Linked DNA regions of Struthio camelus. The main gene of each other region encodes a partner of the protein of the gene in region 4 in a complex. Links are inferred from orthologs where the notes say so. Each region holds a gene or a part of one and is shown on either strand. Other genes may lie near its edges.

Region 1 (7,268 bases), on a different chromosome or scaffold from region 4:
AAAACCAACCCGAAGCGGGAGGAAGGTTTGGTTGGAAAAACCAAACGAACCGAGAGGGGAGCGGGGACGCCGCTAACTCCAGCTGGGGTCGTAGCCCGTCCAGTCCGAGGGGGGCGCGAGGTAGACGCGCCGGCCGCGGTAGACGAAGCTGACGATGCCGCGGTAGCCGGCGCGGGGCACGCCGGATTTGAGGTCGTCCATGAGGCCCAAGGCCTTGGCGAAGGCTTTGAAGGAGTCGCGGCTCGTGTAGCGCACGCGCACGGCGCCCAGCTCGCGGCGCCGGTTGCCCTGCAGCTCTTCGACCCGCACCTCCGGCGCCGCGTAGACGCGGGGCAGGAAGGAGCGTTCGTACTCCTCCTTTTTGAGGTAGGAGAGGTCGAGCCGGGTGAAAGGCACGAAGCGGTCGTTGAGCTTGATGAACTTCAGGTACTGGTCGAAGAACTGGCCGTGGCTCACGCCTTTGCGACCGAACGTCATGGTGCGCGACACCTCCGGGCGCACGCACGAACGCTCCCGCCGTTGCTCGGGTTGCCTCATCCAATCGTCCCAAAACGCTCGAGGCCATTTAGGTTCCAGTTCGTCCCACAACTCGGCCAGCAGCAACCAACCGAGACCCGGGAAGAAATCGGTGCGGTAGAGCAGCTCGGCTCGCCCGGCGTCCACCATCTGCTCTTTGCCGTTGTCGTTCCAGGCCGAGACGCACCAGAGGCTGCGGTCGGCCAAGAGCAGCGGGAAAGTGGCTTGGAAATACTCGAAGAAATCCGGCGCTACTTCCAAGTCGTCTTCCACCACGATGGCCGCCCGGTAGCGGAAAGTACGGAAAACCTGTCCCAGAGCCCAACGGTAGTGACGGGCGATTTTGTAGTAACCTTGGAACTTGCGGTGTTCGGCGGGTACGGGCACGTCGCTGAGGTCGGGCTGCCGGATGTGAGCCACGGCGTCGCCGTACGAGGCGATGACGCGCGCCGTCTCGGCGTGCCCGCAGTCCTGGCTGACGATGACGGGGAAACGTTCGGGCGAAGGGCGGTAGCGCAGCAGCTTGTCCAAGCACCGGCGTACCGTGCTGCGGTCGCAGGCCATCACCAGCACGGGCAGGACGACGGAGGCGGCGGCGGGTGACGGCGGCGGCCGGGGGCTGCTGGGGGGAGGCGGCGGGCGCCGGCGGCGACCCCACAAGCCGCTGTAGCGGTGGATCTGGCGCAGCAGTTCCTTCTGCCGTTCCAGCTCGGCTTCGGCATCCTGCGCCAGGCGGATCACCTCCTCGGTGAGGCCGCGGCCGGGTTCGGCGCCGGGGGCCGCGGGGCGGCTCCAGAGGAAGAGGAGCAGCAGGCCGTTCCAAGCGACGAAGAGCGCCGCCCCCCACAGCGCCAGGCTGCTCTTCTTCAGCATCCTTCACCCGGCGGCCGCCCCCCCCTCTCTCTCTCTCTCCACCGCGCTCACGCCGCCGCCATGGACCTGCGGGCAAAGCCGAGCCGAGCGCCGCGTTAAAAACCTCTCGAAACCCCTAAAAAAAAAAGAAAAACCACCCAAAAAAAAAAAACCTCTCCACGCCCAACGCCCGCTCGAAAAACACCCCGAAGAGGAAGTCGCGAGAGGAAACAAGACGCCCCCGAGGTCCCCAGCGCCGAGGCCGAAAGTCGCCTGCGGTAGAAAAGGAGATGGGGGGGAAAACAACCCCCCCCCTCCCCGATCTGCCCCCAAAAACCCCAGCTGCCGGGGCAGAGTCCGTCCCCGTTAAAGGTTAACCTGGGCGCCGGGGCCGAACTCGCCGCCGAAACGGGGCGGGAAAAGCCGCCGGGGCGGTTTTAGCTTTTCTACGTGAAAAACTGAGGGGGATAATTAAAAAAAAAAAAAAAGGGAAAAAGTAAAGAATAACAGACCCCCCCCCCCCCCCCAAAAAAAAAAAAAAAAAACGCGAAGCTTTGGGGGAGCCTCCGCGGCGAGTTACTCACCCGGCCGCCGGCGAGCCCGGCCCGACTCCTGCCGTGTGGCGGAGGTAACACGTCAGCAGAGCAGGAAACGAGGGGGAGGGAAAAAAAAACAAAAACCGGGGGAAAAAGAAACCAGAAAGAAAAAGAAGATATTGGGTTACTGAAGTCAGGCAGGAGGCGGCCGTCCCCGGGGCGACTTTCTCCTCCGCTCGAGCAAGCGGCCGAACGAAAACTTCCGCCCCGGCTCCGGCGGGCGGCGATTTACGTTCCTGAAAAGAAGGAGGGAAGAAAAAAAAACAAACAAACCCGGACTCGCCGTCCCGCTGCCGTTTTGGGACCGGTTTTATTATTATTTTTTTTTTTTTAACCCTCCTGGCGGGAGGAAAAGACGCGGCAGGAGGCAGGTTAATTCGCTAAAGCCGCCCGGGGTGGGGGGGGGAGGTTTAAGCTGCTTTTCCTCGCCCCCGGGGTCACGTCGCGCGGCGGCAAAACGCCCCAGGGGCGAGGAAAAGTTTCCCCGCAACCTGTCGGTTCTGTTCAAAAGGGGGGGGGGGAAAGGATTCCCCCCCCCCACCCCGCTGCTTTTTCCGGCGGGATTTAAAGCCCGGCGGCGAAAGGAGGGGAAAAAAAAAAACCCAAAACGCGGGAAGGGTAAATAAAAAACCCCCGGCGCGAAGCTGCCGCCTTACCTGGCCGGCGCCGGGGGAGGGGGCTCGCCGGGGTGTCCGTCCGTCCGTCCGTCCGTTCCCCCCCCCCCCCGGCCAACGTCGAGGCCTCCGCGATCCGGCTCCGGGGTTTTTTCCGCGCCGGGAAGCGGATCAAGCCATGGGGGGGGGGGAAGGGGGGGGGAGGATTTGGGGTGGGGGGGGCGGCCCCGCCGGGGCCCCCGGCGCCGCTCGCGGCTGCTCTGCGGGGGGGGGGAGGGGGGACATGAGGGAGGGGGTTGGTTCCCCCTCTGCCCCCCCCCCAAATCCCATAGGGGACGGGGACCTTCCCCCCACCCCCCATCCCAGCCCTGTTCCCTCCTAAAGGGGGGGGCAGGGACCCCCCCCCACGCAGCCCTATAGGGGACAGGGACCCCCCCACCCCATATGGGAGAGGGATCCCTCCTCCACACCCCTATAGGGGACAGGAACCCCCCCTCCCCACGCAGCCCTATAGGGGACAGGGACCCCCCCCCCACACACAGCCCTATAGGGGACAGGGACCCCCCCCACACACCCCTATAGGAGACAGGAACCGCCCCTCGCCACGCAGCCCTATAGGGGACAGGGACCCCCCCCCCACGCAGCCCTATAGGGGACAGGGACACCCCTAACTACTTCTGTAGGGGACGAGGACCCCCGCACACACCCCTCTATACGGAACAGGGCCCTCCCCCACTCCTATAGGTAAGAGGGCTCCCCCCCCACACCTCTATAGGGGACAGGGCTGCCCCCTCCACACCTCTACAGGGGTCGGGGCCCCCATATAGACCTCTATAGGGGACAGGGCTCCCCCCCTCCACATACCTATATAGGGGACAGCCCCCCCCACCCCCTTATAGGGGACAGGGGCCCCACACACACCCCCTATAGGGGACAGGCCCCCCCCACTTCTATAGGGGATAGGAGCCTCCACACCCCCCCCTATAAGGGATAGGGCCCCCTCCACACACCTCTATAAGGGACAGGGAGCCCCCCACACCTCTATAGGGGACAGAGACCCCCTCACACACCTCTATAAGGGACAGAGATCTCCCCCAAACACCCCTATAGGGGACAGGGCCCCCTCCACACACCCCTATAGGGGACAGGGAGCCTCCCACACTTCTATAGGGGACAGGGGCCCCCTCACACCCCCCTATAGGGGACAGGCCCCCCCCAGCCCCCTCCCCTCCCCATAGGGGACAGGACCCCCCCCCCGACACCCCTATAGGGGACATGCTCCCCCCCGGGGGGGGGGGTCCGGGCCTCCCTCCTCCTCCTCCTCCTCCCCCCCCCCCGCCCCTCCGCGCCCCTCCGGTACCAGCGGCGGCTCCCAGCAGCGCCCGCCACTTCCGCCTGCCCGCGCCGGAAGTGGCGCCATGGCAACGGGCCCGGCCCCGCCCACCGCGGCGGCGCCGTCCAATCAGCGCCGGGCAAGGCCACGCACGCACGCACGCACGCGCGCTCCCCTGCGGGCGCTCCCATTCCCGCCGCCTCCCTCCCTCCCCTTCCCCCCCCCCGCGCGGCGGGATGGTACAGCCCGAGGGAGGGCGGGGCCGCCGGCCACGCCCCCCTCCCCGCGCGGCCACGCCCCCTCCCCGCGCGGCCACGCCCCCCTCCCCGCGCTCCAGCGCCCGCCCGCCGCCGTTTTTAACGTCTTTGGGGCTTTTTCGGTCGGTTTCGGGGTCTTTGGCGGGGTTTTTTCGGGGGGGGGGTCGAAGTTGTGACGGGGGGGGAGGGGAAACTCGCTCGTTCGTGCCCCGAGCGCCGCCGCCGCCATTTTTGGCGTCGCCTCAAGAGAGGGCGGGAAGGCGGCGGGTCACGTGGGTGGGGGCCCCTCCCCCCCACGCCGGCCGCTCTGGGCGCCGCGGCGGCCCCGGCTCGTCTCGTCTGCTCCGGGCGGTGGGACACGTGGAGGGGCGATGGGAGGGGGCGGGGGGCAATAGGGGGGGATGGGGGCAATGGGGGCAATAGGGGGGATGGGGAGGCAGTGGGGGGTGATGGGGGGCAATGGGCAGGGGGCAATGGGGGTGATGGGGGGCAGGGGGCCATAGGTGCTGATGGGGGCAATGGGGGGGTGGGGGCAATGGGGCAGGGGGCAATGGGGGGGATGGGGGCAATGGGGCAGGGGGCAATAGGGGGTGATGGGGGCAATGGGGGGGATGGGGGCAATGGGGCAGGGGGCAATAGGGGGTGATGGGGGCAATGGGGGGGATGGGGGCAATGGGGCAGGGGGCAATAGGGGGTGATGGGGGCAATGGGGGGGATGGGGGCAATAGGGGGTGATGGGGGCAACATGGTCAATGGGGGGGCAATGGGGGTGATGGGGGGCAGGGGGCCATAGGGGCTGATGGGGGCAATGGGGAGGCAGTAGAGGGTGATAAGGGGCAATGGGGGGCAATAGGGGGTGATGGGGGGCAATAGGGGGCAGGGGGTGATGGGGAGGCAGTGGGGAGTGATGGGGGCAATAGGGGGATGGGGGCAATGGGGGGGCAATAGGGGGTGATGGGAGGGCAATAGGAGCAGTAGGGGGGGATGGGGGGCAATAGGGGTGATGGGGGGCAGGGGGCCATAGGGGCTGATGGGGGCAATGGGGGGCAGGAGCTATAGGGGGTGATAGGGAGCAATAAGGGGTGATGGGGGGCAATAGGAGCAGTAGGGGGTGATGGGGGGCAATAGGGGGTGATAAGGGGCCATGGGGGGCAATAGGGGTGATGGGGGCAATGGGGGGTGATAGAGGGCAATAGGGGGTGATGGGGGGCAATAGGAGCAGTAGGGGGTGATGGGGGCAATAAGGGGTGATGGGGGGCAATAGGAGCAGTAGGGGATGATGGGGGGCAATAAGGGGTGATGGGGGGCAATAGGGGGGCAGGAGGCAATGGGAGGGGGGGAAAGGCACCCCTCTGCCCCCCCCAGCCCCCCCCCCAGCCATGGAGCCGCCGCCGTCCCGCTTCCAGTCGTGCCTGGACTTCTGCCCCGAGTGCGGGGCCGTGCTGCCCCGGCCGGGCCCCCGCGACGCCGTCTGCTGCGCCCGCTGCGCCTTCGCCCTCGACGTCGCCGGTGAGCCCCCCGGGGAATGGGGGGGGGGGGGGGAGCAGGCCCGGACGCCTGGGCCCCCCCCCCCCCCCCCCAAACCCGTTACCCACCGCCTGCCCCCCGTCCCCCCCCGGCAGATTTCGACGGCAGAGCCGTGCGCACCGCCGTCCAGTTCAACCGGCCCGAGCTCGCCGCGCCGCGGCCGCCCGAGCCAGCGCCGGGCCTCGACGGCCCCGTGGTGAGCCCGGGCGGCGGCACGGGGGTAAACCCCCCTTGGGAGGGGAATAAACCCCTTGGGAGGGGTATAAACCCCCCTGGGATGGGTATAAACCCCCCTGGGATGGGTATAACCCCCTTGGGATGGATATAAACCCCCCTGGGACAGGTACAAACCCCTTAGGATGGGAATAAACCCCCCTGGGACAGCTATAAACATCTTGGGAGGGGAATAAAGCCCCTTAGGACGGGTATAAACCCCTTAGGATAGGTATAAACCCCCCTGGAACAGGTATAAACCCCTTAGGATGGGAATAAACCCCCTTGGGACGGGTGTAAACCCCTTAGGTTGGGAATAAACCCCTTGGGAGGGGTATAAACCCCTTGGGATGGGAATAAACCCCCTTAGGATGGGAATAAACCCCCCCTGGGACAGGTATAAACCCCTTGGGAGGGGTATAAACCCCCTTAGGATGGGTATAAACCCCTTAGGATGGATATAAACCCCTTGGGATGGGTATAAACTCCCCTGGAACAGGTATAAACCCCCTTAGGATGGGAATAAACCCCTTAGGATGGGAATAAACCCCCTTGGGACAGGTGTAAACCCCTTAGGTTGGGAATAAACCCCTTGGGAGGGGTATAAACCCCCCTGGGATGGGAATAAACCGCCCTGGAACAGGTATAAACCCCCCCGAGATGGGAATAAACCCCCTGGGGTATGAACCCCTTAGGATGGGTATGAACCCCCCTGGGACGGGTATAAACCCCCCTGGAACAGGTATAAACCCCCTTGGGATGGGAATAAACCCCCCTGGAACGGGTATAAACCCCCTAGGTTGGGAATAAACCCTCTTGGGATGGATTTAAACCCTCTTGGGATGGGTATAAACTCCCCTAGGATGGGAATAAACCCCTTGGGATGAGTACTAAACCCTCTTGGGATGGGTATAAACCCCCTTGGGAGGGGAATAAAAGCCTTAGAATAGGAATAAACCCCTTTGGAATGGGAATTACACCCCCAGGATGGGAATAAACCCCCCTGGGAGGGGAATAAACCCCTTTAGAATGGGAATAACCCCCCCAGGATGGGAATAAACCCCCTTGGGAGGGGAATAAACCCCTTTAGAATGGGAATAACCCCCCCAGGATGGGAATAAACCCCCTTGGGAGGGGAATAAACCCCTTTAGAATGGGAATAACCCCCCCAGGATGGGAATAAACCTCCTTGGGATGGGAATAAACCGTTTTGGGACGGGTATAACCTCCCTGGGAGGGGTATAAGCCCCTTTAGGGCAGGTCTAGCCCCCCTTGGGAAGGGTTTAACGTCCCCCCCAACCCCGGGCCGGGGCGGGGGCATCTGAGGGCTCAGATTTCGGGGGGGGGGGCAGGTGGAGCG
Region 2 (7,982 bases), about 23 Mb from region 4:
CAAAGAGTAATCAGGCAGCATACTGCCGTGAACATTACCAGTAATCAAGTTTGATGTACTTTCTGCAGCCTGTCATGCAAGACCTTCCACTTCTCCATCAGCACTTGAATAACTACTTACACTGACAGTCTTCCCCCCTTTGTAGCACCATGCTCAAATCCATATGTTCTCTGTTATCACAGAATGGTTGAGGTTGGAAGGGACCTCTGGAGATCAGCTAGTCCAACCCCCTTGCTCAAGCAGGGTCACCTAGAGCATATTGCCCAGGGTCACGTCCAGGTGGGTTTCGAGAGACTCCACTAACCTCTCTGGGCAACCTGTTCCAGTGCTCTGTCACCCTCACAGGAAAGGAGTTTTTCCTCATGTTCAGATGGAACTGCCTGTGGTTCAGTTTCTGCCCGTTGCCTCTTGTCCTGTTGCTGGGCACCACGAAGAAGAGATTGGCCTCATCCTCTTGACACTTTCCCTTCAGATACTTGTACACGTTGATGAGATCACCTCTGACCTTCTCTTCTCCAGGCTGAACAGGCCCAGCTCTCGCAGCCTTTCTTCAGAGGAGACATGCTCCAGTCCCCTCATCCTCTTTGTAGCCCTCCGCTGGACTCTCTCCAGTAACTCCATGTCTCTCTTGTAGTGGGGAGCCCAGAACTGGACACAGTACTCCAGGTGAGGCCTCACCAAGGCTGAGAAGAGGGGCAGGATCACCTCCCTCGACCTGCTGGCAACACTCTTCCTAATGCACCCCAGGATACCCTCGGCCTTCCTGGCCACAAGGGCACATTGCTGCCTCATGGTCAACTTAATGTTCACCAGGACTCCTAGGTCCTTCTCTGCAGAGCTGCTTTCCAGCAGGTCAAACCCAATTATACAATGACCTTTATTAAAAAAAAAAAAAAAAAAAAAAAAAAAAAAGGGCACTTACTTAGCTTGCAAAAGTTACCTGGCTTTTCAGGTCTTACCTTTGACACTTCTTTCTAAATCAAGTCTATATAATTTATTTTAGTCAACTGAGACAAATGTTAGCCCTAAAGTCTTACAGATGCTTCTTGCAAGTATTTTTTTCAACTGCAGAACAACTCCAATAAGGGATTTCGACTTACTTACCTCTGAAGGACCCATGTATTCAGTAGAAAAGTCTTTCTCCAATGACTCAGTATAGAAGGTCAGAAACTCCGCAGCCCTTTTCCACTGCTTTTGTAGCATGGCATCCTGAATGTAACTTAAGCATGCTTCCTTGCTCTTCCTGAAGTTTAATTTGTGTTCATGGGAAGTCGCTAAATACAAACAAAAAAACCCAGTCTTCATTCAAATAATAACATGCCTACTGTTTTAGTGTCTCTCTATCAAAGAGACATGATTCCTCAGACACTACAGAAACCAGTCTTCACCTATATGACTTTGAAAGTAAACACATCCAGGTTCTGAAAAACCTAACAGGAGAGCAACAAACTATGAAAAAAGCTGGAAATACAGTATAAAACAGCATTTTCACAAGCAACACAGAGATGAAGACACTTTTGAAACAGCCAAGGACTAGCTGTTACACACTACTGCTCTAGAGGAATCAGAAAACCATGGTGCTTTGGTAACTTAGTAGTGTATGTTGATATTTGGGGAGGGGGAGAAGGGAACCTCTCTCTTCCCTTATTCATCCTGAACTGACCTTGTGACTCTACTGTGCTGAAGTGTCACATAAGTACATACAGATGGGCCACTCCAGTAACAAAGGTGAAACAACACCCACTAAAAACAAAAAGCAAAACACAAAGATACACATAGCAGATTATTCTTTTGTGAATACAAAATGGGAAGGAGGCCACTCATCCCTTTTATATAAAGGGTGCTAGACAGTGGTTCACCTTTGTTATAGCACAATATTGAACCCATTTCCATGTTTAAGCCCATGCCTATGTAATATTTGCATGCCATTGACCTAACGTGCCCCCACAATGTCACTCAAGCCATAGAAACCTTCTGCAAAGGATGTGCAGAGCTGAGCAAACCAGCTCCTACATGGATGCTGTAGGCAAAGCAGTGACTCAAACATAGGCTGACAGCACTTTTATTACAGTGCATTGTACACAGTTACCTCTAACCAACCTTCCCAAGACCATACTGACTAGTCTAAAAGAAGCTTCTTTTAGTAGAGCAATAGTGTCTTCACACCTGGCCTAACATTTAAATTATTTGTAACTTCACAGGTTCCAAACATTGAGAATAGAAAAACCGCAACAAACATTGCAAGATTAAATATACCAAGGACTATGACTACTGTAGGTAAGTCCCATCACATAAGTTACTGAGAAGTCATCTGATACAGATAGATGCGATGTAAAGGCTCTGCCAAGTGTTTTACTACAGAAGTATTTTGAAACAGGAACTTTGCTAGAGGTTTGGCAGTTACCTACATCCACTATGCCTTTGTTATCAGTTATTTCATCTACCTTATTTTACTAACAGTGAAAATGCGGAATAAGCCACATGCAGCTTATTACCCACAGAAACAGAGAGAAACAACACAGGGATGCTATGATTAAAGACCTCAGTCTCTGAGGTACCAAACATCCTCCAGGCCCCTGAAGCCACGAGACTGCCGGGGCTGCCCACACGGAGGAGAGCAGGCCAAGACTGCCAGAGGACAGTCACCAGTTCTTCCTGCTTCACTGAGACCTCACAGCACGGAGCAGAAACGACACCTTCGAGCACCTCAAAGGCTGCCAGACAGACCGGCCAAGCGCAGACCACAGAAAAGGGGGGGGCGGCGGACACACGCGGCGGGCGGCGCTCCTCCCTCAGGCCCCAGGGACCCGCGGGGGCCGCCGCCGCCGCCGCACAGCTCCGCCCTTACCCGGCCGGTAGAGGTGTGGCGGCAGGAAGGGCAGGTGCAGGGCCGGTAGCAGGGCGCCGCCCGCCTGCGCGGCCGGGCACGGCGCCGCCCGCTCCACGAAGCCGTCCATAGCCCGCAGGAAGGGGCCGGTGCGCCGGGCGGCCGTTACCGCGATCGCTAACGGCGCCGCTGCGCGAGCCGTCCTCTTCCCACGTGACCGCTCCCCCCCCCCCCCACGCGGCTATAGCGGGGAACCGCCTGACGGCAGCGGCCATCTTTGATCCTGGCGGCGGGCTTCGGGGCGAACTAACTGGAGTTTCTAGCCAGCCTCATCTAAACCGAGCTGCTAAGGTCATCCTGTGAGAGAGGCGAAGCCGCTCCGCCCTGGCGAGCTTAGCCGGGGCTCAGTTTAAAGATGACCACCTCTTTCCGCTCCCAAGTAGCCCTAGCTCCTAGAGCGTAGGCCAGCTGTTGGCCAGGTGCGCATAGCGGCCAAGGCGCATGCGCCCTATGGAACATGGGCCGCTTCGCCGCCATGATGAAACGGGAGAAACTGGCTCTTGCGCCTGCGCGCTGAAGAACTTAGCCACCTCCGCCGCCATGATGAAAGGGGGAATTGTCTCGTGCGCCTGCGCAGTGAAGGGGGGGGAGGGGGTCGTGTGGAGGCGCGGGAGGGGGCGGCGTCGCCCGCTTGCTCTCCTCATGGCGGCCGGGCTGGCGGCCCTTCGGGCGTGCCTTGGGATGCGTCCCAGAAAGGTGCCGCTCACCCTCGGTAGCGAGCGCCCCTTGCGGGTCAGGGTGCGGCGGTAGCTGGGGCCACTTCCAGCTGAAATCAGCCCTCAAGTAGCGTGGCTGTGCGTTGGTTTGCAGCAGGTGGCCGGAGCTGGGCCGGGGCCAGCGGCCCGCAGCGGTCGTGTGGAGGCTGAAGGCGCTGCTGTCACCGCTGCGGTGCATGGCCCGGCCCGGCGGGCTCTGAGCTGTCCTGCGCCCCGGCCCCGCCAAGGGAGCGCAGCACGTGTACGAGGGATGTGCTGGCAGATAAACTGCCTGTGGAGGTGGGGAAATGAGAAACGGCAGGGTGAGGAAATAGCAGGCACCTAGAAGGAGGATGGGAGGCTTGGTGGACGTGCTCAGAGGGGTAGCAGAGAACCGTCTAATGCATAGCACCATCAGAGCGTTGTTACACCTGCCACCAGTAACTCCGAAAGTGATGGTTACCTCCTACATCCTGTTACCACCTTTTTCCTCTAGGTTTATTGGTACTTTTCTGTGGGTCTGTAATTTAGAGCAGCGTTTTTCTACAGAAGAAAAGGACCTAGAAGAGTCAGTCTAGAACACCTAGATGCCAGAAGTCCGTCTGCACAGAGCCTGGTTTGTACAAACCTGTGCTGGAGCTCGTTTCATTAAATCACTAGCAGCAACTGACTTAGCCTCGGAGTGATTTGGTATGTTCAAAGTCCTGATTTCTGAATAAAAACGTACTTTTATTTTTCTCTAAACAGTTCTGCCAGGTGAAGGTGAGTAAGTGAATGATACTGGCTGAGATGAAAGGTTCACCTAATCCAGTGTCCTGTCTTCAGCTAAGATCCAGAACAGGTGTCAGAGGACGAGTATAAGGCAGGGCAGTTTTTTGTAGTGTCTAAACATTTAACCTTAGTATCATACCCTACTGTGACACTTAATAAATCTATGTGGGGATAGCAGGAGTCTCATGTTACTGTTTTTCTCTGCTCTTTCAGCCTTTCTGATCTTGGCATCTCCCGGTCCCCGGTGTTATCACAACAGTGCAGTCTTAATCCAGTGCTCTTCCAATTTAGGCCCAGAATTTCAGTTCATAAGTATTCGGTATTACTCGTAGACAGAGTTAACTTATTCAACTAATTTGACTATAAACCTTATTGAGTATATATTTTCTTTGTCTACCCTTTATAAGCAATGCTTCGTATAAGCGTCTCACTGATTACTGGTGTTCCCCAAGTATGGCGTCACGTCCTACAATATTTCTGATGCTCTGTTGCATCAATACCCTAGTTTCGGTATTCAGCTTCCCCCATTTTATCTCTGAAAGTTCTCATGTTTGCTTAGAAGCAGATTAATGTTTCTCTGGGCTTTTCAATTTTTCTGTGTCTTACATAAATGAGAGTCTTTGCTGGTTCCTGTGTGAACTTTGCCAATTGGTCTTATTCATGGGTATTAGTTTTTAATTTGGTAGATGCTTTAGCGCAGAAGAGATGGGGAAACTGCTTTGTTTGTAGCTGTGAACATGTACACATCTCTAGATTCCACATAATGGCACTCCTCTCAAATTTGAATGCACGTATCTGCAAGATTGGGGTTGAAGGCTGAAGGAAATCTTTCCTAAAACATTTGAATTTAATTAAGTGAGAAAGAGAAAGCTGCGTACATATTATTACTATGAAATATTTGAAATTGTAGGGAATTTTGGATGGTTGCAGTGGTAAACCCATGTATATATATTGACAGCAATATATACAATAATGGCAATGACTCTTGCAAGAAATAAGTAATCTTGTTTCTCTTCATGTGTCGCTTTTCTGTGCTTGGTTTTTATGATCATAGACACCATTACTTTTTATCTTGGTCTTTTGATAGATAAGCTTGATAACCTAGTACTGTCAGGGAATTATCCAACAGCTATATCTTCACAAGCAAGTGGACTTAAAGATCAGAATGGGAATTAAGCCACAAGAAATTTTAACGTCAAGGGAAAAATCAGTTGTCTTTTATTCTTAAAGTCTCATAAGCTGTATGACTTCAATATTCTAGTTTCCATATACAGCAGTGTGTTAAAATCCTCTAATTTTGCCAAGTTTGTAGTTCATAGTTTTTTGGTAAAATCTGTTTTTATGTTTCTGTTTGGAGTTAACTCTTACAGGATATATTTCAAGAGAACTGCAGCTTCACAGCTCAGGCTGCTTGTAAGCTGTGATGAAATTCACGTTTCAATTTTATGAGTTAGACTTTCTTAGAGCTTTTCCTCAGACAGCGTCAGTAATGGCAAATAGGTATCACCTCATTTTATAGGATGTGAAATAGAGAAACGCCAGCACAACTCCAGGGGGGCTGTGTTCTACAGCCGCGATACTGCGCTGGGCCTAGGGAATATGTGGAGGCACCTTCCTGGAGAAAATAGTACGGGGTGAATGAACTGTTGCGTTCCTCTAACGTATAGGTGTTTCCTTAATCTTGGGATAGATGGGGCTGTAAGGAGTGGCTAGATGTTTAAGGTAAGTTTGGCTGTGAAATACTGAAGCCTGTCCTTGTAGCGTTAAATTAGGAAGATACCTATTTCTGTCCTGATGCCTTTTCATAACGTGATAAAACAGTAAACTGCTCGGGAGTGGGGGGAGGTTAAAATAAAATACCTGTTTTTCCAGAGATCATGTAGCGTTAACTACGGTTGGCTCTCAGATCTTGTCCGATGGGGCCGTAGAAGTGAGAGCAGGTAAAGCAAAATCAGTAACCGTAAGGATACGAGAACACGAGCAGTACCTCTAAGGCAGCCAGCAGCGGTGACTGCCAGCTGCTGGCGATAAGAGCTGGCCGTCCGCGGAAGAGGAGGATCAGCTCCTCTGGTAGCTGATGCTCAGAGCGCGCGCAAACGTGTCGCTTAAAACGCCTCTTGAGAGACGCACGGAAAAAGCGGGGCCCTTCCCCTTGACCACCGGACCGGCCCAATTCCGGCTCGTTTCTGGAGCAGCTGCAGAGCCTGCCCCGCGCCCGGAGAGGGCAACGAACACCTGCCGTCTGACTGAACCAGCCGCAGGACGCCGCGGCCTGTCGCCTACCCGCGCTGCCCTGCTGTCGCCTCCTCTTCGCAGAGGGAACTTTCCTTTGGCTGAACGACGAACAGGCGGCCGGGCAGACGCCGACTTCACGTTGGCCCTCCCGCGCGGGACGGCGCTGACGAGAAGCAGCCCCGGCAGGCGTGCGAGCGGCGGGGCAGCCGCCGCCAACCGCTGCCCGAGGGGGCGGTGAGATGGCGGCGAGGGGGCGGGATGGGGGCGGGCGAAATGGCGGCGGCGGCGGGGTCCGAGCGCCGCCTGCTGCCGCCGCCGGCCCTGCTGACGTGTCTGCTCCCTCCCTGCCGCCGGCGCCCAGCGATCATGGCCGCAGCGCCGCCGCCGCCGCCGCCGGCCCCTCGGCCGCTCCTCGCCCTGCTGCTGCTGTTGCTGCTGCTGCCGCGGCCGCTGGACGCCGAGCTGGGCCGCCGCTTCGCCGAGCGCAAACGCTGCGCCGACCCCGAGTGCAGCAGTGAGTGGGGCCGGGGCCGTGGGGCAGCGCTGGGGGGGGGGGCTGCGGGGCGGCGCGCCGGCTCCCGCCGACTTGTTGCCGCCGCCGCCGCCCCCCCCCCGGGGGGGGTCCCGCTCGGGGAGGGGGCAGCGCCGCGGGTGGGGGGGGGGTTAGTTTTTTTGATGTTTTTGTTTAAAATTGCGGGGGGGGGGGAAGGGAGCAGGGCGCGCGCTGCTCCTCGCCAGCCTCCCGCGGGGAGGCAGGTTGGGATTTACCCGCTTGGTCTTTCGGGCCAAGTTTTCCCGTTCCCGCAGCTTCTTCTCTTTCCGCAAGACCCCCTGGTAAGAGACGCTGGCTGGGTGTTTTTCACAGCCCGAGTAGCAAAAGGGCTGATTCATTATGAAACAGATGCCATCCTTCAGCCTTTCTTATTTAATATTAACAATTCGCCTCATAGCGCGCTTCTCAAATGTAACGCTCCGGTGCTTTATTGAGCTCTTGTGTGGGCTTAGGTAATATTTTTCCCTTACTTATCCTATTTGCGCTTGCAGTTATATTCTCACCCCTTGACCCAGTCTGTAAAAACTGTGCGTGCGGAGAGGTCGTCTTTCCTGCTGATTAGCAAAGATCCTTTCCGCAAAACTATGACGTTCAATTTTTTGAAGTAATACTCTGCTCTTTGTTTTCTTTGTACAGTGTTGATGTGCCGAGGGAAGGCCATGCAGGATTTTAAAGGTCCAGACTGTCGTTTTGTCAATTTTAAGAAAGGAGAAGCAGTGTATGTGTATTACAAACTAATAGGGAAATCAACTGAGCTTTGGGCTGGAAGTGTAAGTACCGTAAAGCATTTATTCCATTTGATCTTGTTGGCACTTTCTTTGGTAACTTTTTTTCATCCTTT
Region 3 (6,945 bases), about 44 Mb from region 4:
AAGATTCAGGGATAAATATTACACTCTGGAAAACAGTCAACATCCGTTTGCAGAGGGAAATCAGACAAGTCTAGAACTGCTAGTCAGGTGAACAAGTCTGAAAGCCTAAGTAGACTGTTTCAGCTACTGCAACAAAGCAGCCTAAATAAACAAAGAAGCCACAGGATAGGAAGGGAGACCTCAGAAGTCAATACGTGGTTAAAGAAAAAGTGGAAGAAAACCATAAATGCTCAATGGAAGGAGATCAACAGTAGAGACTACAGAGATCTTTCCTAAGACTGGACCATTTGACCTGTTCATAAGTGATTTGAAAAGTGAGAAGGAAAAGACAGTTTGCTTAGGAAAACCATTTATTTACAATAACAAGATCTGACAGAGGCTTTGCAGAAGGCTCCCTTGACTGTAAGAAACGAGGTGACAAAAAGCACAGTGGAAAAAAACAATCTTAATTTTATGTGTAGAACGACGAGCTCTAAGGGAGCCACTGCCACTCAGAAAAGAAATCTTGGCATTACAATATGAAAACACCAACTCAAGAGAGTAAATCAAGTCTCAGGAACTACTAGGAAAGGGAACAGAAACGTTACTGTGCCTCTGTAAATCCATGGTGCACCCTACATCAAATCCTCAGCACAGTTCTGGTCTCAAGCCTAAAGGATGACCAAAGATATGGCTTCCAATGGCTTCTGCGCGAGGAGCTGCCACAAAGACTAAGACTGTTTAGCTTGGAAAAGCGAGAACCTCAAGGGGGATACGATGGAAGGACATGCAATTAACAGCAGCATAGTGAAAGCAAACAGGGAATGATTATACACCGATTCCCGCTGCGCAAGAGCAGGGAGTGGGAGAGACTGAACAACCAGTCCAAGCACAAGGCAATACTTTCTCACATAAGGCACAGCCAAATTGTTGGGCTGGGACCGTCAAACATTTGCACAGATTGAAAAAGCGAACAATCTTAGGAAAGAAAGAAAGAAACAATGAACGTATGAAAAAACAACAGCAGCAGCCACTGGGAAAACGTCTGCAAAGAATCTGTGCGACTGCCCCACTTTTATGTTCAGACAAGATACCGCACTTAGAGTGGCTTTTACCATAATAAATGGCAACGATTCAGAGAAAGGAGGAAAAAAAAATAAGCAGAAACTGCACACAATCGTTCTCTTGCAAGAGACCCATGCAAATTTACACCTTGGACAAAGCTACACAATTTTAGTGGCAAACAGCAATGGTCCTCTGATGCTTTCACAACGCAAGGGAAAATATTTGCCAGGGATGTTTCTCTACTCAAATTTCAGAGCAATCTGGAAAACCGATGAACACGTGATATGAACAAAAGGGATTTATAAAGCTGGGCTTTTACACCAGAGCAATACTGATTTTGAAACCTGGATTCCTGTAGAAACAAGATTTGGATTATCCCTTTCTCTGAGGTTAAACAGGTCTCCTTCCAAGATCTTCTGAGCTGGCTAGCTGATTTCTACCCAAATTTGACAGCAGGAAAGGGAAGATCATTAAGGTCCTACGAAAAAGGAGCACAGAGGGGAAGAGATGTTTTAAGGGCTCAAAGAGAAGAAGCTTTTGCAGTGGGCTCATACTTCATCAGAACTCGAGACTCCATACAGGACACAGTTCTGCCAAGTACCTGCAAAGCAGGTGAAATTGGAAAGTGATCTTTAGCCAAAGTACACGCAAATTTGTGGAGAAACAAGCTTCCGTTAGCTTTGCTCTTGCGGAACTAGTGATGTCATGCTACCGTACGTAATGATGTAATATATATCAGGCCCTGGAGAAGAACAGCGTACTCCCTGCGAGCCCCAATGCTTACAGCTCAACACTTACCATTATTTTCCCCCGATACGTGCTTCGGAGGCCCCTGCACTCCGCCGGGTAAACCTTCATATCCTGACAGATGGTCCCTTTTGGCACCATTGGGGGAGAGATGGAAACTCCCACAATAGCCAGCGAGATGCGATCGCTTTTGAGAGCAAACTCCAGCGGCTGGAGGTCCTGAAACAGACACGCGAGGGCGGTCAGGCTCCCCAGACGTAGGTCGGGGGCAGCACCCAGAGCGGGGGCTGCCCGGGGAACAGGGCGCCCCCGCTGCGACCTCTGCGTCCCGCCAAGCCACCCGCTGGCCCCGGCCCCACACCCCCGCTCCCCTGACTCACCTCGCCCTCAGCCACCCCCAAAAGCCAACCCCCGGGCCCTCGCTGCTCTACGCCCGTCCCACCTCGGCCCTCGCTTGTCCCCCCCAGCCACCCCCCGCCAGCCCCCAGTGGTCTCCCCCCACCAGCCATCGCCCCCGACAGCCCCCAACAGCCTCCTGCAACCGCTCCCCGACGGCCCCCCCAGCTGCCCTCCAACGGCCCCCCGCAACCACCCCCAGCGCCGCCCCCTAACCGCCCCCAGTGGTCCCCCCTGACGGCCCCCAATGGTCTCCCGCAGTCGCCCCCCGACGGCCCCCAGTGGTCCCCCCCACCGGCCCCCAATGGTCTCCCGCAGTCACCCCCCGCCGGCCCCCAGTGGTCTCCCGCAGTCGCCCCCCAACGGTCCCCCCCCCTACCGGCCCCCAATGCTCTCCCGCAGTCGCCCCCCGCCGGCCCCCAACGGTCCCCCCCCCCGACGGCCCCCAACGGTCTCCCGCGGTCCCCCCCGCCGCCCCCCGACGGTCTCCCGCAGTCACCCCCCGACGGCCTCCAATGATCCGCCCCCCGACGGCCCCCAACGGTCTCCCGCAGTCGCCCCCCGACGGCCCCCAATGGTCCCCCCCCCGCCGCCCCCCGACGGTCTCCCGCAGTCGCCCCCCGACGGCCCCCAATGATCCGCCCCCCGACGGCCCCCAACGGTCTCCCGCGGTCGCCCCCCGCCGGTCCCCCCCGCCGGCCCCCCGACGGTCTCCCTCAGTCGCCCCCCGCCGCCCCCCGACGGCGGCCGCCCGCACCTGCACGGCGCGGTAGACGCCCTCGCTGATGGCGTAGTTGAAGGAGTCGAGGTGGGCGCCGGGCAAGTCGCGCCGGGCCTCGCCGCGCGGCCGGTAGCGCGGCCGGCGGCGCAGCCGGTGCCCCCCGCCGCCCGCCGCCATGCCCACCGCCCCCGCGCCCGCCGCCATGCTGCCCGCCGCCGCCGCGCTGCCTGCTGGGATGCGGCCGGGGGCGGGGCTGAGGGGCGGGGCCGCATCCGCCCCGCCCCCCGGCGGACGCGCGCGCGCGCACCCCACGTGTGCGCCCTCCCCCCTCCCCACCCCGCCGCGCATGCGCCCCAGGGCCTGACCCACGGCCACGTGCGCTCTGCCTGGGACCCAGAGCCGTGTCCCCCCCATTCCTGTCCCCCCCCAGCCGTGTCCCCCCCATTCCTGTCCCCCCAGGGCTGTGTCCCCCCATTTCTGTCCCCCCCCAGCCGTGTCCCCTCCATTCCTGTCCCCCCAGGGCTGTGTCCCCCCATTCCTGTCCCCCCAGGGCTGTGTCCCCCCATTTCTGTCCCCCCCCAGCCGTGTCCCCTCCATTCCTGTCCCCCCAGGGCTGTGTCCCCCCATTTCTGTCCCCCCCAGCCGTGTCCCCCCCATTCCTGTCCCCCCAGGGCTGTGTTCCCCCATTCCTGTCCCCCCAGGGCTGTGTCCCCCCCATTTCTGTCCCCCCCAGCCGTGTCCCCCCCATTTCTGTCCCCCCCAGCCATGTCCCCTCCATTTCTATCCCCCCAGAGCCGTGTCCCCCCCAACTCTGTCCCCCCCAGCTGTGTCCCTCCATCTCTGTCCCCCCTCCAGCAGTGTCCCCCCCATTTCTGTCCCCCCAGAGCCGTGTCCCCTCCAGCCATGTCCCCCCAGGGCCATGTCCCCCCCCAGCTGCGTCCCCCCCATCTCTGTCCCCCCAGGGCTGTGGTGCCCCCATTTCTGTCCTCCCAGAGCTGTGTCCTATGCAGCTCTGTCCCCCCATTTCTGTCCCCCCAGGGCTGTGTCCCCCCCAGCCACATCCCCCCAGGGCTGTGTCCCCCCCCGAGCCGTGTCCTATCCAGCCATGTCCCCCCCAAGGCTGTGTCCTCCAGCCATGCCACCCCCGGGGCCGCGTCCCCCGGAACCACGTCCCTCCAGGGCCGTACCCCCCAGGCCGTGTCCCCCCTGCCGCGGGCGACCTGGCAGCGGAGGCGGGGAAGCTCTGGCCCCCCCCGGCCGCAGAGGCGGCACAGCACTGCACACCCAGTGCTGCAAACTCAGCCACAAAACCTCCAAATCACCCCCTCCCCGGAGCGAGAGGCAGAAACGCTCATGGCGGGGGCAGGCAGGAGCGTTTCCCAGCTGCTGTGCCAGTGCCGCGAGCCCCGGGACCCGCTGTCCCACGGGAACGCCACAGCCTCTGAGATTTCCTCTTTTTAATGGTGGTTTAGGACAGATCTGAATACAAACGCTGGAGAACCACGCGCCGCTCGGGGTCCCGCCGGCCGTGTACACACTCGCTCGTGCGACAAGTGCTTTGGAAACAAAAACTGGAGCCCGGGAGCTCTGTATGTCTGCCCCAGCCACGGCCTCCGGTCCTTTCAAAGCCTTTCATGGATTTCTGTGGACTATTGTGGCTGACACCGATAATGACACACAAGCATTAACCTACTTACAGCACGGCATCGCTCTCCTAGCGGAGAGCGGCACTTGGAAAACAGACAGGCAAGCAGTCCCCAAGGGCTTGGACCACAGACAGGCAAGCAGTCCCCAAGGGCTTGGACTACAGCAGGGAACGGGAGCCGGACCGCTCGGACGAAGGTGCTTTCGAGCCTGTCGGACAGCCCCAGGGTTTTCCACAGGCTGCGGCCGGCCACGGGATTTCAGTGGGAGCCCGAGAGCTGTCGCTCCGCAGTCACAATTAATCTGGTATGAGAGAAGCCATATGGGAGTTAAGTGAAGCCCAGGCTCCGGCTGGACCAGACCCTGCTGCAAAACACAACCGGAGCATCTGGGTCTAAATCCTTTATGGCTGGACTGAAGGGATACAACTGCTAAGACTATGGGCGGGCTCCTCCTGCAACCCAGCACCATCCTCTGTCAAGGCTTAGGAAAGAGAGCAAGACCTTGTCTATTGACCTTTAAGCTGAATCAAGCTAGAAAACATTTATTTTTGCATTTTTTTTCCTAAAAAATAAAAGTGTGCGAGCATCACTTACAAGGTGCCCCCACGGTCGCAACGCTCAGGCCTCAGCCGTATCCATCTCATTCTTTGCTCCACCTAACAAATAATAAATGGGGCTAATAAATTGGGCAAAACCCTAGGTACCGCACTGGCCGTCCTTTAGCGTTTACCTCCTGGGCTTTGCTTGGGGGAAGCACTTTGAGGGGAGATGGTGAGTGCTCACACATGGTACCCAGTGTTTTCCTCTAGAGGCTGTTGCTTATTCAGCAAACAAACCAATGATTAAAGAGTCCCTGAATCACTATCTCCCCAAAATCCAGCTGAAAAGGCAGGTTATGAGTAACTGCATCACCTGGGGCCATTGTTTTACCATTGAGTTGAAGCCCTGCTTTTAGCTGAGCAGCAGAAATAGCCAGTTGGGGACGTATCTCAATGCAACCTGAGGCGAAAAAGGGCGGAGGGAAAGGCCTTGGAGTTATGCAGAGGTTCCTGAGTCACTGCTCTTCCTGGCTGTATCAGCTGTGCTGATAAAAGATGCTTCTCTTCCCTGCATCCGGGCTGCTTTCCTAGCCTTATCCCACTACATCGGCAGGGATCTAATCTTACATACGCTCAGGAAGGGAGCGTTTTGGTTTCTGAATTCAGGGTGAAGGGAAAGTAAAGAGGGGTCTAGGACCCCAGGGATTTTTCATTTCCTTATGACGGGTAAAGTTTTCTCACTTCATACCTGAGGAGCTCTGGTCTGGTCTGGTGTAGAGCTTGTGAGAGTGCAGTGTCTGCTCAGGCACGTTCTGGACCAAGGCTATTGCTATTAGATCTTGCCTTTGCTGGGGGAAAAAAAGGTGCATTTTTAAGCTCACGGTAGCTACTATGTGAAAATGTCAGTGGAGACCTGTTGAGCTGGCAGCTCTGCGAGTCACATGAAACACCTGTTACAGCCTACATTTTACCTGGGACTATTAACACTATGCTTCGGGCTGGTCTGCAGGGCAATTTTCACACCTGTGTGCTATCACGAGATTAGGACACCCAAACAGCCCTTCCCTCATACCTCCTTCTCCCAGCTTATGACCCACCATTCCCCCACCGCTTTCTGGCTCATATGAAAACACAAGAGGTCCAGTAAAGCCAGAAACTGGACATGGTGCTCAGGGCATTGCTGGAAACAAAACCACCCACCAGCAAGTGGAGTCCAGGCGTCCTTCGCACGCAGCCTGGAGAAACAAAGCAGACACCCTGTTCACACGCGGCTATCGCTCCTCGTCGCTTCCCAGCGTGCAGCAACCGAACTGCTTTCCAGCTCCAACGCACCTTGCGTCTGCCAAACGCCATGCAGACTCCGCTCCGTGCGGCGCTTCAGAGCGTTGACGACGGGCTTGCCTGGCCTTTCGGGACGCTTCCTCTCTGCAACGCTTCTTTTGGGCTTTGCTAACCACTCTGTTCACAGCATGCTGCAATGAATGTCTGTCCAGGTACAGCATGACCAAAATCCATCACTCCGAGGAGGGGTGGGCACTTCAGTCCTGCCGGCAGGATCACTTGCTTACCAAGCGCTGTGCTGGCAGGAAGACCTCTGAAATCTCAGCCACGACCAAAGGTGAGTATGTCAAAGCGCCGGGATCGTTTGTGGGAGGCAGAAATCACACTGCTTGATTCACTTCCCATTAAACGCAGGCAGCCAGAAGCTTGTAACCTCCATGATCTCTTCTTGTTTGTTTTGCTTTGGGTAACACGAACAAGGTCTGTTTTATTTCATTGACAACCATCTTTCCGTGCAAGAGCCAAGAGAACATGGCCCTGACCTCGGCAGCACAGCCTGCTCTCCTGCTGC
Region 4 (7,531 bases):
GCACTTCCCATGACCAAAAGGCACCCCAGACAAGCACTCGCCCACCAGCAAAGGCAGTGAAGCCACAAAGTATAAAGAATTAGCACACCTCCAACACAAAATTCTAACCTGATAGAAATGAGCAGTTCCAATCTAAACACAAAGCTTATACATACCCCTGGGCAGGATACACGTCATCCCCACATTCAACTGCTGGAAAGACCAAGCTCACTACCCAGTCTGACACACAGTTGAGCAGTATTTGGAAGCTGCAGTAAGCAGCCACAGGGCTCTACAGACAGACACACAATACCTTAGCATTTCAGGGAGATCTCAGTTCACCAGCAAACACATACGCGTGCAACAGCCACTCATCCATAAAACCAGGCTGAGAACAGCACAAACAGTTGCTGATCAGCAAGACAACATCACAATGTGGTTTCGTCTCCACAAGGTTTGGCTCTAGTCTGCAATAACTCTTTGCTAAGACTCATAAGGACATGACACGTTAGAGCAGTGAATAAAGTACCCTTGATGGTCTGGATCTCAATGACTCCAGGGGAAAAGCACTTCTGCAACAACTCAGCCGCCTCATTCTCAATAGGCTGCAGGAGAGTAATGTCCGGAAGCAGTCGATAACTAGCTGTGGCCACAGGAGAAAACTTGGCATGATCTTTACCTGCACAAAGAGATAAGGGTGAGGAGAGGTCTCACAGAACAAGAGGGTAATGATGCTAGGGCCTAAAGTTCAAAGAGGCAAGCCAGCCTTCCACCTCTCCCCTCCACACATCCGTCCATGCCCTATAGTCCGAGCACTCCCACACCTTCTCCCCCTACCCTCAGGACCAGTGACTTACCTATACCCTTGACACAGTGCATAAGCACATCTATTTCCTGGCCAGGTCGTAACTGTGCGATAAGGATGTCATCATGAACAGGTCGGAAGTCAGCATCTGGGAAGAGGTCTGTCTGATTTCCCAAAGGCACCCATGTCATGTGTTTACTGTACACTGTGAAGAGGAGCCACAAGCATCAGCCAGCTGCTGCCTCAGAAAGCAGACTGCTACAGGACTGGAGCTGGTAAAAAGTTTAGCAGAATAAGGGAATCAGCTCTCTCTGTTCACAGGACTGAGAGAATGGACCAATTCCTGTCTCCCAAGAAAAAAAGCAGCATCTGTTTTTAGGACACGGAAAGACCTTACCTTTGTGATTGAAGTACAGTTCATTGGGGTCAGAGGACTCCCTGGCTGCCTGAGAGTTTCGGCTGCATTTTATTTTCAGCTGGAACTGCAACGTATCAATTTCTGTCCCTTCTTCATCTCCTGGAAAGGGGAGAATAGCACGAGCGTCTACAGAATCACGCTTCTGCTCAGTTTACCTGATCCCAGGTTTCCTACTTTGGGGGCAACCTTCAGTATTTCGGTTTGATTGAAGGGAGACTCAGGACTCTCACCTTGGTTTCTGTACTCAAAGAGTCGAGGGTCAGCTCGGATAGGGATAAGTCCCAAGCGATGAGCCAGAATCTCATCCTGCACGATGGACGTGTTGTTGTACACAAAGACTTTCTCTACAGCCATCGTTGGCACCTCAAGGAGAAGAGGACGCATCAAGTCAGTATAAGGTGACGGTCCAACTACACACCAAAACAGTGTCTAACTAAAACGTGCTTATTTTCACTACTTCTTCTCTCCCATAAATAATTGCTCGCACACTCTTCTCACTGGTGTTTCTATCAAATTGCGCTACCCAATACAAACATGAATGAGTTCTCCCTCTATCCCGGTAGCTTACTTCTTTTATTAAAAAAAAAAAAAAAAAAAAAGTAAGAGAGGTAAAGGGCAGACCAATCCACAGAACCTACCAACATCCACAACAACCTACCAACCTACCTCAGCATCCTTAAGGGTTACAATTGCTATTGCTCATGCCACTAAGGCTCTAACTCTCTCTAGGTCCTTGACATACAGAACGGATTTTTGCTTCTCTTCTAAAATACGTATAGATGGACTGAGATACCACAGGACATACACATACACGCCCTCTCCCATCGCACAGACTGCTCTGCAGCTAGGGCCTGCTTCCAGGCAGCTCTGTGCAGGGCCCTGTCCCCCATGCCCTGCTGCAGAAACACTGATGCTGCAGCAGGCTCCCACCGGCGGGCCACAAGGGCCACCGGTGGTACGAAGATGCTAACAGCCCCGAGGCCCACCCGAGTTGGGGGGGGGGGGGGAACCCGGCCGGGGAGCACCGCCAAGCCTTGCCCTCCCCGCGGCGGTACCTCAGCCAGCAGGATGCGGCGGAAGGCGTTGGCGATGGCCGCGTCGATGCCCACCATGTCGAACTCCAGCGCGTCGTCCTCCTCGCGGACCACGTCCACGCGGAACCCCTGCACGGGCCACGCGCCGCGTCACCCCACGGGCCCGCCTCCACCAACCGCCGCCGCGCGCGCGCCCGCACCGCCCGGAGCCTGTAACGTTCCTCCCCTCCCCGCCCCGCGCGCCCCCTCCCCAACGGCCGCCGCGGAGCCCGCCCCGTCCCAACGGCCGCCCAACGGCCGCCCCGGCCTGCCGGCAGCGCCCACCTCCTCGAAGCGCAGCTGATCCCAGGCATCGTCGTAGCCGGGGTAATTGCCGGGGAAGTCCGTGGTGTGGACCTGCGAAGAGGGAGATAGGCAGAGAGCCCGTGAGGGCGGCGGCGGCGCCGGGAGCGAGGCGGGCACCCGGCAGCCCCGCGCCGCCCCAACTCACGTTGCGGACCCCGAACTCGCCCAGCACCACGCGCTCCCGCATCTCCTCCGTGCCCCGCTTGGCCGCCATTGCCGCCGCCGCCGCTACCAGAGCGCGTGCGCGGCCGGACGGACTGGGGAGGGAGGGGTTAGACTCCCTCTGCCACGTGACGGGCCGCCCCACCCCCGGCGGCCGGGCGGGAGGACTTGGCTCCGCCTAGGTGTGGCGCCTCAGCCGCGGGGCGTTCAACCCTCCCTCGCCGCAGGCCGGCCTGGGGGCGCTGCGACAGCGCAGCCCACGCCCCCGTATGCTCTGCGAGGCTCCCTCACCGTCTACTCAGCTCCTCTCTGCTGCCCCCTTCCACTTTCCTCTGCCACTCCCAAGATGGCGGCACTGCCGGCCGGCCGGCGAGAGCGCGATCTCGCGAGAGCGCGGGCGGAGCCTCCACGTCCGCCGGTGCTGGGGGGGGAGGGGGGAAAGCCTGTCACATCCGGGTCCTGCGAGCCCCGCTGGGCCCGCGGAGCCGCCAGCAGCGAGCGCGGCGCGGGGCGGCCCCGGCCACGATGTCCGCGCCGGGGGCGGCGGCGCCGGGCGGCGGCAGGAGCGGCGCGGCGGAGTGGGGCGGCTTCGAGGACAACATGCAGGTGGGGCCGGGCCGGGCCGGGCCGGGCCGGGCGGGGGGCGAGGCCGAGGCCGAGCGGGGCCCGGGCGGGCACTGACGCCTCTGCCCCCCGCGCAGGGCGGCGGCTCCGCCGTGATCGACATGGAGAACATGGACGACACGTCGGGCTCCAGCTTCGAGGACATGGGGGAGATGCACCAGCGCATGAAGGAGGAGGAGGAGGAGGCGGAGGGCGAGGCGGCGGCCGCCGAGGAGGAGGACGGGGAGTTCCTGGGCATGAAGGGGCTGCGGGGGCAGCTCGGCCGGCAGGTCGCTGACCAGGTGAGCGTGGCTCCCCGCCCGGCCCGCGGCCGCCCCCGGCCTCGGGGGCCCGGCCCGGCTGCTGCACGCTGCCTTCTCTCCGCAGATGTGGCAGGTGGGGAAGAGGCAGGCCTCGAAGGCCTTCAGCCTCTACGCCAACATCGACATCCTCCGGCCCTACTTCGACGTGGAGCCTGTCCAAGTGCGCACCAGGTGGGCAAGGCCGTGGCCCGGCCGTCGCCTCCGCCGCGAGTGCCCGGGGGATTCAGGGGGGACCAGCGACTCCTCACCAGGGAGCGGCTGCCCCCAAGGCAAGCAACTCCGGGTGGGGCTGCCAGCCCTGCGCAGTGCCCAGATGCAGGGTAACACGCTAGGCTTTGTCCCCTTGTCCTTAAAGAGGTTCCCTAGGCGGGCTGGCCGCTATGTCACTTGTGGCCCAGCAGAGCTTCTCTGACTGAAACAAGGGCTTTGAGGCATCTTTAGCGTTTTATTGCCCAGCCCCGTCACGTGGTTTCTGTTGGACCTGCAACACAGTTGTGTTCAGAAAGGCAGTTCTGTGTCTTCTCAGGGAGCAGCTTACCTGACTGGAGAGAATGAGGCAAGAATTACTTTTCTAAAACCTTCCAAGGCCTAAGGAGCCAGCACTAGGGTACAGTTTGTACATATTTTTACAGCATGATTTTATCCAGGACTAACTCATGAGGAGGCTCGGCTAGCCCGCTGTCATGAAGGAGAAGGCTTTATATCATCAACATATGTTTTTTCATCCAGCCTCAGGTCAAGGAGTTCAGTGGCTCAGAAAATTAGGGATTGCTGTTCTGGCAGCAGTCCCCTCATCCCTGAATGGATCTGTGTATGTTTTCATTAAATCCCCCTGGCAAAGTTAGCCTGTGGATAATAAGATTGTTTTCTTTAGCTACCTTTTGTGACTCTTCAGAAGGAATCTGTGTCTACCAAGGCCTGTGAGGCACAACAGGAAAATACTGGTGACTGGGGTATGGGATCTTTTACTGCTGAGGCATCTCGTTAACCTGGTTGTTTTTCCTGCTTTTGATGTCGTTCTGTGTTTTTTCTGTGATGCAGACTGCTAGAGTCCATGGTTCCCGTCAAGATGATTAATTTCCCACAGGTGAGTTCCCTTTTGCTGAATCAAACTCCATGGCTCAAGAGAATGTCCCACAGACACCTTGGAGATTTTGATTAGCCCGTGTTAGTAAGGGCCTGAGTTTGCTAGTTGTTCATCTGCCTGAAAATGCTGGTAAGCTCTTTCCCAGGATGCTTCTAAACCCCTTTCTGCTACCCTTAATGCTGGTACAGTTCTAGATCTCCAGACTTCACTTATCGTGTTTTGGCATCCTGTTTAACACCACTTTGACTCTTAATCACATGACCTATTTTTCCTGGCTCCTGTCAGCAGCGGCCTTACTGTTACTTCTCAGATCAGTAGGTGGCTAAGTGACAAAATTCATCCAAGGCACTTCTCACATGGCTTGGGGTGGGGAGTCTGGCCTTCAGGAGCACTAACCAAGCCTTCCCTGGTCTGTCTCCTCCTGTAGAAGATTGCAGGCGAGCTCTATGGGCCCCTCATGCTGGTTTTCACGCTGGTGGCCATCCTCTTGCATGGGATGAAGACTTCGGACACCATCATTGTACGGCGAGTCTCAGCGATAGGTTGGGGTTTGCACTGGGATCTGAATTGCCATAATGAGGCTAGAGAGGGAGAGGAAGCCTCTCCCGTGACTGAACAGCACCTTGCTGAAAAGCAGACTGATTTGAGGAAGAGTTAATTTGGGGGTAGGAGGAAGGAAGCAAGCATCAGAAAATCTTGATGCTGTGTTGCTGGAAGGGCTGGGCAGTAGGCCATGTGGCATCCTGGACGCTGCTGGCTGGCTATTCAGTCATGCCTAGCAAAGGCTCTGGGAACTCTCTGAGGTGGAATTTGGGTCCTGACAGGTCAGTTCTTTGCGCTCTCCTCACCCTGACACTGTCTCTGCAGAGGGAAGGCACACTGATGGGCACAGCCATTGGCACCTGCTTCGGTTACTGGTTGGGCGTCTCCTCTTTCATCTATTTCCTGGCATATCTGTGCAATGCCCAAATCACGATGGTGCAGATGCTGTCACTGTTGGTATGTATGGATGGGGCTAAGATGCAGGTTGGCTGCATGGTGCTTCAGCAGAAGGGTGGTGTGGGGGGGTCTTCCCTGAGACGTGGAAGTCTCCTTATCAATTAATGGTCCCAGGTGACTGCAGTCCTATTGCATGGGGATAGGCTGGAATTCCAAGTTGTTCTTCTGACTTGCCCCATCCCAGGTACGAGGACAGCACAAAGTGGCTGTTGCTTCATGCAGATCTGCTTTGGACTTCCTGATCTGAGAGCATGGTGGTAAAAAGCAGGAGATTCCAATTTCTCTGGAAACAGAGGCTGATTTTTTCTCTGTTTCCCAAGTTGCTGTGATTTCTATCATCCCTGTGACTCCTTCAGGCAGAGAAGCTGGATGTGAGCTGCTCCCACAGCACACTGGCTTTTACGTTTGGTGTGCTGATTGACTCTTGGGTGTTGAGTGAGTGATTAGTGAAGCTTTGCCTCCATGAAACGCTGCAGGAGTAGCCTACTCATGGTTTTGACCAGTAGCCCTTCACGTGGGACTGTCATTCATAACACGTGTATTTTTGTTTTGTCAGGGCTATGGCCTCTTTGGACACTGCATCACCCTCTTTGTTACCTATAATATCCACTTCCACTCCCTCTTCTATATCTTCTGGCTGGGTGTTGGTGGACTCTCGACACTACGAATGGTAAGGGACAGGCAGCTGGGAGCCCTCCTGCTTTGGGGACCAAAAAAAAAAAAAAAAAGAGGAGAATGTCATTTGCTTTCTGTTTCTTGGGGCAGGCAGTTCATATCAAAGCCAGTAAGGCTGCTAAGAACAACAGCCTGACACTTCTGGGTTGCTTGGCCGCTGGTGTCTGGAAGTGACACTCGGCTTAATGTCCTCACGCATTCTAATGGCTGCAGGAGGTCTGCTCCCTTACAGCCCCTACTGTGGTGCAGAGTCCTGCCTGAGCATCCTGAACTCTTGGCAAGGCTGGACAAGCTTCACCTACATGAAACAGTCAGTTTACTTTGAATTTGGTGGTGTAAACTGCCAAAGAGTCTCTGAGTAGTTTCTGTTGGCTCTTACCACTTGGCCCATCTGCCTATGTGCATCTGACTGCAACGCCAAAGGCTGAGGTAGCAGCTACCTTGTCTGTAATCTCCACCTCTCTCCTAGGTTGCTGTGCTAGTGTCACGTACCGTGGGGCATACTCAGCGGCTCATCTTGTGTGGGACCCTTGCTGCTCTGCATATGCTTTTCCTCCTCTACCTGCACTTTGCTTATCACAAGGTAGTAGAAGGTAAGAAGGGGAGATAGGAAGGGAGTGCCTGTTAGATCTGGGGGAAGAGGAATTGCTTTTTGTTCCCTCCCAGAAAAAATACAGCCAGTTGGATCCAACCTGGGATATGTGCCAACTTCCTATCCAAGAGCGGCCAGCGCTAGCTGTGTTAGAGGAAGCTGTCCAAATGGGGCAGCAGATAGACATGGGGTAATCTGTTTGTGCCGAGTCTCAGGGTTTAGGACAGAAGTTGTGAGGCAGAAGGTTTAATTTTCCCCATAAATGAAGTGTCACAGCACTGACTGTTCCACTCACGCAGATATCCAGTCCCTTCCTGAATCTTGCTGAAATCAGGTTGCTTTCTCTGGTCAGAAAATCCACAGTCAATGTATCGCAAGAAAAATCTTTTTCCTTCTTAAAATTGGTGTAATGCCTTTTTTTATCTTGTGTTGTACAAAACAGGCAGCAGAAGCTCCACCTCCCCCAGTCTGTGCTATTTACCAAGCTATACATATTCAGGTCTCCTTTT

Evidence for each region.
Region 1: POLR1C (region 4) and POLR1H share a complex: the UniProt entries of both Homo sapiens proteins name them as parts of the pol I pre-initiation complex. The link is inferred for Struthio camelus from reciprocal best matches to the Homo sapiens genes POLR1C and POLR1H.
Region 2: POLR1C (region 4) and TAF1A share a complex: the UniProt entries of both Homo sapiens proteins name them as parts of the pol I pre-initiation complex. The link is inferred for Struthio camelus from reciprocal best matches to the Homo sapiens genes POLR1C and TAF1A.
Region 3: the proteins of POLR1C (region 4) and POLR1B are in contact, whole or in part, in a cryo-EM structure (PDB 7OBA), measured with the Homo sapiens proteins. The link is inferred for Struthio camelus from reciprocal best matches to the Homo sapiens genes POLR1C and POLR1B. Residues at the interface, in NP_976035.1 of Homo sapiens: Ala70, Asn74, Arg77, Arg78, Leu81, Ala82, Gln102, Asp103, Glu104, Ile105, His108, Leu112, Lys220, Asp221, His222, Ala223, Thr230, Ser232, Tyr233, Arg234, Leu235, Asp281, Thr282, Phe283, Ser284, Glu286, Arg289, Arg301; in NP_061887.2 of Homo sapiens: Arg713, Gln715, Lys761, Ala762, Glu765, Arg766, Gly767, His770, Tyr774, Gly816, Val848, Arg872, Pro874, Glu900, Asp901, Phe904, Glu906, Gly908, Lys967, Gly970, Tyr971, Asn972, Phe973, Tyr974, Arg978, Tyr980, Ser981, Gly982, Ile983, Ser984.

What each region holds. Positions count from the first base shown.
Region 1 is NC_090977.1:793,276-800,543, reverse strand, and holds the start of POLR1H (DNA-directed RNA polymerase I subunit RPA12), read left to right. Parts: upstream 1-4,199; 5' UTR 4,200-4,290; intron 4,291-4,317; exon of another isoform or gene 4,318-4,519; intron 4,520-5,533; exon of another isoform or gene 5,534-5,545; 5' UTR 5,546-5,547; coding exon 5,548-5,677; intron 5,678-5,790; coding exon 5,791-5,891; intron 5,892-7,260; coding exon 7,261-7,268. Other genes in the region: MGAT1 (alpha-1,3-mannosyl-glycoprotein 2-beta-N-acetylglucosaminyltransferase), read right to left, coding at 73-1,389. UniProt on the Homo sapiens protein: Core component of RNA polymerase I (Pol I), a DNA-dependent RNA polymerase which synthesizes ribosomal RNA precursors using the four ribonucleoside triphosphates as substrates. Can mediate Pol I proofreading of the nascent RNA transcript.
Region 2 is NC_090944.1:126,970,100-126,978,081, reverse strand, and holds the start of TAF1A (TATA box-binding protein-associated factor RNA polymerase I subunit A), read right to left. Parts: upstream 3,047-7,982; 5' UTR 2,958-3,046; coding exon 2,849-2,957; intron 2,835-2,848; exon of another isoform or gene 2,542-2,834; intron 1,739-2,541; exon of another isoform or gene 1,664-1,738; intron 1,275-1,663; coding exon 1,105-1,274; intron 530-1,104; exon of another isoform or gene 365-529; coding exon of another isoform or gene 305-364; intron 1-304. Other genes in the region: MIA3 (transport and Golgi organization protein 1 homolog), read left to right, coding at 6,862-7,102, 7,778-7,911. UniProt on the Homo sapiens protein: Component of the transcription factor SL1/TIF-IB complex, which is involved in the assembly of the PIC (pre-initiation complex) during RNA polymerase I-dependent transcription.
Region 3 is NC_090944.1:147,741,444-147,748,388, reverse strand, and holds the start of POLR1B (DNA-directed RNA polymerase I subunit RPA2), read right to left. Parts: upstream 3,076-6,945; 5' UTR 2,945-3,075; intron 2,011-2,944; 5' UTR 1,933-2,010; coding exon 1,843-1,932; intron 1-1,842. UniProt on the Homo sapiens protein: Catalytic core component of RNA polymerase I (Pol I), a DNA-dependent RNA polymerase which synthesizes ribosomal RNA precursors using the four ribonucleoside triphosphates as substrates.
Region 4 is NC_090944.1:103,662,670-103,670,200, reverse strand, and holds the start of POLR1C (DNA-directed RNA polymerases I and III subunit RPAC1), read right to left. Parts: upstream 3,044-7,531; 5' UTR 2,796-3,043; coding exon 2,727-2,795; intron 2,633-2,726; coding exon 2,561-2,632; intron 2,366-2,560; coding exon 2,258-2,365; intron 1,566-2,257; coding exon 1,433-1,565; intron 1,302-1,432; coding exon 1,182-1,301; intron 990-1,181; coding exon 837-989; intron 659-836; coding exon 509-658; intron 1-508. Other genes in the region: protein YIPF3, read left to right, coding at 3,269-3,349, 3,445-3,648, 3,734-3,840, 4,711-4,756, 5,184-5,276, 5,624-5,755, 6,312-6,425, 6,900-7,023. UniProt on the Homo sapiens protein: DNA-dependent RNA polymerase catalyzes the transcription of DNA into RNA using the four ribonucleoside triphosphates as substrates.